Caenorhabditis elegans: one gene and its partner. The protein of the gene in region 1 interacts with the protein of each later gene in a pairwise test. Each region holds a gene or a part of one and is shown in the gene's direction. Other genes may lie near its edges.

What was found.
Region 2: the proteins of ret-1 (region 1) and K02B7.3 interact in a two-hybrid assay, tested with the Caenorhabditis elegans proteins (one large-scale study listed by BioGRID).

What each region holds. Positions count from the first base shown.
Region 1 is NC_003283.11:14,844,300-14,849,435, reverse strand, and holds the start of ret-1 (Reticulon-like protein), read left to right. Parts: upstream 1-2,123; coding exon 2,124-2,220; intron 2,221-2,839; coding exon 2,840-5,136.
Region 2 is NC_003280.10:14,693,676-14,697,562, reverse strand, and holds K02B7.3 (DUF148 domain-containing protein), read left to right. Parts: upstream 1-2,261; 5' UTR 2,262-2,277; coding exon 2,278-2,364; intron 2,365-2,646; exon of another isoform or gene 2,647-2,685; coding exon of another isoform or gene 2,686-2,739; intron 2,740-2,914; coding exon 2,915-3,187; 3' UTR 3,188-3,371; downstream 3,372-3,887.

The sequences.
Region 1 (5,136 bases):
AGAAGTTTTGCACATTAAAAAAATAAGATTTCAAAAATTTTTGGAAAATTTTTGAGAAGTTTCAGCGTAATTTCAGAGTTAAAATTCAGATAAATTTTGAGCGATTTTTTTAATAAAAAATTAATAAATTATTTAGAAACGTTTTTTTTTGTTTTGAGACATTTCTTGTGCAATTTGTGTTCAATTTTTGAGCACTATAAAAAATAATTTTCCATATTTACGGTGCAATTCTAACAATGCTGAGTTCCCAATTTTTCCTGACGTTCTCCAACTTTTCTGACATGCCGTCAACTCTTTCATGAATTCCAAATATGAATGTTCCGTTTTGTTACTTCAAACTAAGTTTATACTGACAACTTCCTTTTTTTGGAAATGATTCATTTAGACTTGATATAATTAATTACCTGCCATTAGGTTTCTATCTTCTTTTCTATTGGCAGAATTATCTATCTTCTCTCGATCTTTTTTTTTATTTTGTTTTTTGTTTCATTTTCATTTTTTTTTCTCAAAATTTCATTTCACAACTTTCTCAAGTTACTCGATCAACTTCTTTCTTCTTTTCCAAAACTTTTTTCTGACAAAAAACTCTGAAACCCAACCCTCTCCCCCAATCCACGTCATCAAAACTCTCTGACCTACCTGTCAATGTGATTTACGATTAACAACAGATGCCCCTCTTACATCTGAACAGCCGACACAGCACGTGCTTTAAATGTTCTAGCTGTCTGCGTATCTAATATAAACTGGCATTTTTGTATGTTATAGATTGACAATTGACTGTAACTGGGGGAATGGAAACAGTTGGAAGTTTTCAAAATAGAGGTTATGGAAATAAAAACAATTTTGTTTGTTTGCTTACGTCACTCACCACACTCTTTCCATGAACATATGAGTTGATATCAATTGATAACATGGAAAAACGAGACAAATTGCATATTGCTATATTTATTTTCGCTTTTTCAGATGTCAGACTTTCTAAATTTTCAATATTGTTACTACTAGTACTGCTTCTTTTTTTGTGAGCTTATATCTTGGCTCATTTTTTTAAAAAGAGAAACGTCAGTAGGAGAATTGTTCAAAATATCTTCTATAGTGCAATTACCACTAAAAATTGCAAGATTTATTTACAATCAAGATGTGCCAATTTTAAATTTTCGCGGCTCATAAATTTGAAAGTCATTTTTTAAATCAACCAGAAAATGGTTTTTTATAACGGGTTTCAACATAAACGATTGTTTTGGATTATGTGAATTTGAAAAAAAATTTAATAAATTTGTAATGTTAAAAATATATTGTTGTTTTGGCAGTTTCAGAATTTTAATTGAATTTAAATTTGAATGTCAGAAAAAATTCAAAAATAAGTCAGTTATTGGAACTTTTTTTCAAAAAATATTTCCTTTGCCAATAAGCACTATAAAATCAGCAGTGAATTCGAAAAAAATTAAGTGGCTGTTAAATAAGTCAATATGCGTTTGAACAAATGACGTAGAAATTTGAGATCGACTTTTTCTTATTCACATTCGTGCTTCTCTGCGTGTTTTCCAAAACACGGTCGCTCTGTTTTGATTTCAACATAATATTTAAACAGGTGAACAGACCGCCATGCAAGATTTATCGGTCAATAAAAGGAAGCTGAAAAAACTAATTTCGAAACCTTCGAGAACAGAAAAAAAAACTGTTTCTCTTTCATGGGCAGGCATTTCATGAGATTTTTAAGTGCTTTCCTTTAAATAATTTTGAAGCCACCATGATTTTGAGCTTATCACTGACACCCCCATCTTTCCCCTATTGTCATTTGAAACGTATGACTTGGATCTCTGTTTGAGCTGAAAAAGAGATGAATGAGATGAAAGAGAAGAAGACAGAGGGCAACAACAAAAAGAAAAACAAAATAGCACAAAAGAGCGAGATGATCGAAAACCCCGAGAGAAAGCAAAAATGCTCATCACCTGCGGTGAGACGGCAGCTGTCCCCGCAGAAATATCATGTACCTGTGCGGAGACGCAGGGTATACAATCACATGGTGAACTCCTCGGGGTCCCTTCATCTCGTGTCAGCACATTTTTGTGAGCTCCAAAAAATTTTGTCACGAAAAACACCACTTCATGGATGCTGAAAACGAAATGAACGCTGAAAATGTCGATGTGGAACTTTTCTTTCGAAAACCACCGGAGATCACAAATTTTGAGTTGGTTAAGACAATTTGGATTGACCCGAAAGGTGAGTGTTTTTTCATATTTTTTTTAAATTTAGTTTGTAAAAATGCAGTTTGAAAAAAAAAAATTGAAAAAGCTTGATTTCTAATAGATTGTATCTCTTGCTAGTTTTTTTTGTGAATTTTGAAAATTTTGAAGTTCATAAGAAAAAGCATTATATAACTTTTTTAACTTAAAATTTCTGAAAAAAAACTTTAATAAATGTTCCACGTATCCAAGTAGGCACATATCCGATATCTACCTCTGAAATTTTTGTTTTTGATTTTTTCAGTTTATTTCTAGACATCCCGCAAAAATGATTCAAAAAATAGTTTTTAGGCATTAAAAAAGATAAAAAAAAATTTAAAAAGATAAAAAGGTAAAAAAGTCGACAAAATTATGTGGAAATTGTTTGGATTCCGATATATTTCGGAAAAAAATCTGAAAATCAAATTCGAAAACCCATATTAAAATATCGGAAAAGAGCTTTTGGAGCATTTATAGGTCTCAAAAATAAAGCAAAAAAACACTGAAATAATTAAAAATCAAAATTTAAAAGGTCGAGATTAATGCTTTGTCAAGGTCTTTCACTTAGAAAAAATAATATTCTTAAATTTCCTTGGAAAATCTTTTTGTCATTTCAGAGGAGACAAATTCCACAAACGAGCCAACATCTGAGCATGAGCCAAAATCCCTCCAGCCACTTGCTCTTCAACCCCTTCAAACTCCTGAGTCAGAGTCCGGTGGGTCCTCTTGTTCTCATTCGGAAGTTGAACAACTTCCTGACGATATTCTCAATGAACCTCTTGATGATGAAGTTTTTGAAGAAGAAGAAGAAAATGTGCAAACTGATTTACTGTTCCGTCAGCCAAAGAATTCAGAAATGGAATTAGCTTACACCATTTCAAAAAGTGCCGAAATCAACCTGGATGAATTGGAATTTGAGGATGAGGAAGTCGAAGTGGATCTTTTGTTCCGTGAGCCAACTGATCGTCGATTTGAATTGGTTTATACAATTCCAATGATGGAAGATGTGAGTATTGATTCTCAGGAAACCATTACTTTTGAGGACATTCCACCATCTGAAGAACTAGATAACGTTGTGGAAGAAGTTACAGATGTTGCTGAACTTACTGAATTTACATTTAAACCAGTTGAAAAAGATGAACAGACTGAAACTGAGTCATTCACTACAGTCCTAGAAGCGAATGCTGGAGAAGGTGCAAGAGACTTTATCGAAAGAGTTAAGTTGACTTCCAATGACACTTTGGATGATTTGGATGATGATCCTGAGGAAGAAACTTTCCAAAATTCGTTTGTAAAATCTGTGGACTCTAAGACGCCAACTCCAACAGGAGACAATTATGAAATTGAGGATTCCTCTGTATCTGATGTTCTCAAAGATGCAGCCGAAAAATTGCAAATAATTCGAAATTATTCTGCGGACTTGGAATCCGAAAAAGATACAATTAATACGGATGTTCAGCATGTCTTCATTGGTCTTGAGGATGAAGGTGGTGTTATACCAATAATCCAAGAAACACAAGAATATGTTGCAGAAATTGGACCTACTCAAGATAATCAAGAGTATGATTCTACTTCTAAAAGTGATTTGGAACCTCAAAGCTCTGCTGATGGGGTTGTGGAAACTTCGACTTTCGAAGCCCCAGCAGTCTTCGGATTGGAAGATTCTGAAGATATTATAAATAAGCATGCACTGGAAACAGCATCAAATCAAGAATTCTCGAAAATTAAAGAGCCTGAAGTGACTGAAGTTTCTGAAAATACCGCAGAAAATTTGAACGAAGAAGTTGGAGAATCTAAGAATCCGGAAGCAATCGATCTTGTAGAATCTGGAGAGAACGCAGGCATCGAGCAAAATGCAGGAGCTGAACAATCTCAAAAAGAAGCGGTTGAGGAAACTTCAAGTTTTAAAGCCCCAGCAGTCATTGGGTTGGAAGAATCTCGAGATATTTTGAAAGATCCTTTACTTGAAACTGCACCAGATCAAGAAAACTTCAATAATAAAGAATCTGAAATGACTGAAATTGCTGAAATTACAACCCCAATTAGACTTGAATCGTCTGGAGACAACTTCATTGGTACCGATCCAGAAAAGGGCACAGAACAAATTAAAGGTTCTGAGAGCTCCGAATTAGTAACCCAAGAAGTCATTGGGTTGGAAGAATCTGGAGATATTTTGAAAGAACCAGCATTGGAAACTGTAACAAACCAAGAACTTTCTGAAAATAAAGTTTCTGAAGTGACCGAAATTGCTGAAAATATAACCCCAATCGGACTTGAATGTTCGGGAGACAATTTTATTGGTACGGATCCAGAACAGCAGCCAGAGCCCATCAAAGGGATTGAAAGTTCAGAATTGGATGTCATTGGGTTGGAGGATTCTGGAGATGAAGTGAAACAATCACAGTTGAAATCTTCAGAAGATCAAGAATTTTCTGAACTTAAAGAACACGATGCATCTGGAAATGTTGATGAAACTGGTGAGAGCGCAGATATCAAACAGGATGATGTAACGGAAATTGTTCAAAGAGAAACGATTGGGCTTGAGGATTCTGGTCTTGCAGAGATTGTCGCTGCTCATGAGAAAAATTTGACATCTTCTGATATTGACAGTTCTGTGATTCCGGAAGATGCGGAAAATGCATCTCCAGAGGCGATTGGCCTTGAATCTTCTGGAGACAACTTTATCGGTACGGATCTAGAACATGAAGAAGGTCAGATTGACAATTGTGAGAGTTATGTATTGGAAACAGCAGCTGTCATCGGTTTGGAGGATTCTGGAGAGAACTTGAAAGATTCTGTACAGGAAGATCCACCGGAGAAAGAATTCTCTGAAAATAAAGAATCTGAAGTTACTGGGGATGTTGAAAATACAACTGCAATCGGACTTGAATCTTCAGGAGAACACTTCATCGGT
Region 2 (3,887 bases), on another chromosome or scaffold:
ATTTCTAGACATTTTAAACATTCTGAAATTTATTTTTGAAGCTTGACAAGATTTTAGTGTTTCTTAATTAAAAACTAATTTTACAATTTTTTCAATAAATTTTCACTACCTGCATGCAATCTTCAAACTGTTGGTATTCTGGATAAACTGAAAAAATAATTTTCATAATTTCATTGTTTTTTTGTTGCAAAATCATATTTTAAACCGATTAAATTGCGCTTAGTATGATGTGTGTTTAGAGCGATGATCAAAGCGGAACGTATGCCTCATCATCGGGAATCGCAAAAAAACCTGTCCTTTTGGATGAGAAAAGTCAATTTTGACGGCGAGAAAAGGCTTTTTGATATCTTTTTTAGATGATTTTTATAAGAGTCACTATCTTGATAGTAGTTTTAAAGTATATTTTAAATTATATTTTGGATTAAAAAATTATTTTAAAGCAGTCAAATAACAGCCCCCGAACTTTTCAAATTCCGAAAACGCAAAAATTTAACTACATAACAACGAAAAAACGAGAAATTTCAACAATTTACGCTTGTGAGAGTCTAAAATAAAGTAGTTTCAAAAAATTGGAAAAAAATGTTACAAAAATTCCAGTTCAGAAAAATAAGAAAAATCTATCGATCATTAGATTCTCTGAAAACTACGCTCAAATTTTCTGATTTTTTTTGCCGTTTTGAATTGATGGAACATTTTTTTTTGAATTAGGTTAGGATGTGTTGATCAAGTTTTTTCAAAATACAAAAATTTCAAAATCGAACTCAGTTTGCACCTCCATAACTGAGTCACACAAACTTCTATAGAAACATTTTGTTTTGAGAACCCCCGTTTTTGGTTTTTAAGCAAGTTTTTTTTGAATTGAAAATGCAAAATGTATCTTTCTGCAAAAAATAATTCTAAAATTCCTTTCCAAAAGCCAGTTTCTGATCAGGTTTTTTGGCATACATTGCTGGTATTGTTAATGCCAACAAACCGTGACTCATCCTATTTTCATTCAAAAAGGCTTCTTTTTCTTTCAATGTAGGTTTTTTCTTTAAGACATTTGAATTTATAAAATTTACATTCAGCTTAATATTTAAAAATAATAATAGGGTTAGTCATGCAATTTTGTGACATGTATCAAAATATATTTTATGGCGTCATTAAGTGTATTTCACTTGTCTTTAATTTCGTTTTGGTAGCTCAGTTTGTGAACTGGTAAAATAAAATATAATTTCTTCTTGATTGAATACACTCATAAATAACAAATTACGGCAATTGAAAGTTTCCAAAAAAATCAGTTCAGCTAAATTCTTGGCCTTATTTTTTTTTGACTACTTTGGAAAAAAACAATCTAAATCTGCGTAGTACATGTCTGAGTAGTACGATATGTATAAAGAATGGCAATAATTTAATTTTAAAAATTTCCACAAATATGTATGTTTTGCAAAACATTTTTGATCCGTAACTCCTTTTTTTAATTTCGAAAATGATTAACGGTTCCCATTAATTGAGAATAACGATTAACTAAACTAAACTATCTTTACAGCCAGCAAAAATGACTCATCTCAGAATACATTTTATAGTTTGAAACACATTGTTTTTTCATCTCTCTGGCTAAGTTCCTCCTTGTGATTTTTGTACACTAAAGTTGTCGACGAAGCTTCTCAAAGTCACGAGAAATGCTCCAGTAATTCTTTGCTCTTTTTCCTGAGCCTCAGGTATGAGCAATGTTTTGTATTGAAAGCTCTTGCTCATTATTTTAATTTGGAACGTATTCCTGAGTTATTTTTAGTGACAGAATACCTAGTTTTGAGTCGCTACTCAGAAAAAGTTATGTGATATTTGATATGTTTGTCGATAGTATTGAACAAGGGGGGTGAACAGGAAGTGAAGTGATGGGCCCACATATTTGCATATCAAACTACTATTTCCTGTTTCTCATAAGTTTGCACTTGCCTAGCCTAGCAAGACCTTCGTTTCTTATTTGGAAAATGTCCCACTTTGAAATTTTCTGAAATTTCCAGAAATGCCCAGAAATTTCTTACGCTCTTTCCTTGTGCCGCCAAGAGAAAATGTTAAATATGTTATGATCATGATGCCCACTCACTCAATTTTTCACCAAATAAAAAATGATAACGGCCCCCGTTTTCACATGACTCATCCTCTCAGCACTATATAATTTCAGTTTTTCTCCAGAATTGTAGACACTCTGGCAACACTGCTGCTTTTTCTCTTTTCGTTTTCATTAATAAAATATAAAGTTTAAAATTTTAAAATTTTCAGACTCTCCACAAAATGCGTCCAGTCGTCTTTACACTTTTGATCACACTTTTGCTCGCCAGTTCTGTGCAAGCCGATTGGTGGGACGGGTTCACTGATACGGTAGGTTAAGAAAAAGCTTTATGTCTGCTTGCCTATGTGCCTGCCCATCTTTTTTTTTTGTGTCTGGTCGTTCTAATACTTACTTCTAACTTCCCACTGATTTGGACAATTTCCAAAAGGCAAGGCAGGCATAGACAGGCAAGCCTACAAAAAGCCACGTGCCAAACTTTTGTAACTAAATGTTTAAGAATTTAAAAATTCGCTCAATTTTTACGTGGCCTTCGGATTTTTTTGGATTCTCTAACTTTTCAATCACGTATTTTTTTAACAAAAAAACAATTATTTTTGAATTTCTTTTTCAAAATCTGACCAAAATTCGAGATGGAGAAGCTCACCAACTTCTATAACAATCATAAAGACGCTTATATCAGTCAGGTAGATAATGTAATTTCAACATTAAAAATCTGCAACGATGTACCTGCCTACAGAGCTAAGCCTTTTTGCCCTCAGCCTATGCCTCTAAGTGCCTTAGCGTTTTGAGAATTATTTGCCAAAGCTTTTCTCAAAAACAAAAAATTACATCGCAAACTCTGAATTTCCGTTCTTGCAGGTCAGCGGAGGTCTGAACAATGCCGCCGGATGGTTCAAGGAGACGGCGTCTCCAGCAATCCGTGACAAGTTCAACGAGTACAAGGAGAAGCTTCAGGACCCGGAAACCCACAAGAACATCCGAGAATGGGTTGCAGAGAAGTACGAGGCCGCATCCGAATTCACAAAGGAGGAGATTGTTCCGGAGCTTAAGAAGGTGTACGAGGCGGCCACTGCTGATGTGACGACGAATGAGCCGAAAGAGGAGAAGGAAGTGACTTTAGATGATAATTGATTTAATTAATCAATTATTATTTATTTATTCACATATTTTTCTTATGCATTACTCAAAGCCCACGTTTATCATGTGCCTTATTCCAATGACGAATTGTAGTTGTATTTGTTCAAAAGCAAGCATAAAATGTTTTTTCTGTAATATTGAATTGTTTCAAAAAAGTTTCAAAATGTGGAAATTTGCGATATTTCAAATATGAACTGTGACAACTCCACAGAACCAAGTTGCATAATGAGATTTCTTTTAAAAAAGTTTGCACGGTTTTATTTTAAAGTTTTGAACATCCATAAAATATTGGTGAAAATTCAAGAGGCCTCGTTGTTAAATTTGGTTTGTGCGTCTACCAAGGGAAGTATTTCAACTTAATACAGGGCTTCTGACTGAAACTTATGGCATTTGAAAAAAGCCTTCTGGCTAGGCCTTCTACAAATAATTTAGCGACAGAGGAGCACTTTGGAAAACAGTCGCTCTGAAAATGTTTCAGTGCATTTTTTCACAATTTTCTAGACCCGTAAAGGCTCCAACTGTGAAATTTTCAGATTTTTGATAATTTTTAGGATGTTCAGAAATGGACATTCGGAATTTTTCTTGGAATTTTTTAAAATTTTTTTTTCGTAAGTTCTAATAGTAAAAGTTGAAAATTGGACATGTCCTTGCTCGAATTTTCGAATCATTCTTCAACAAAACACTTCAAAAATTG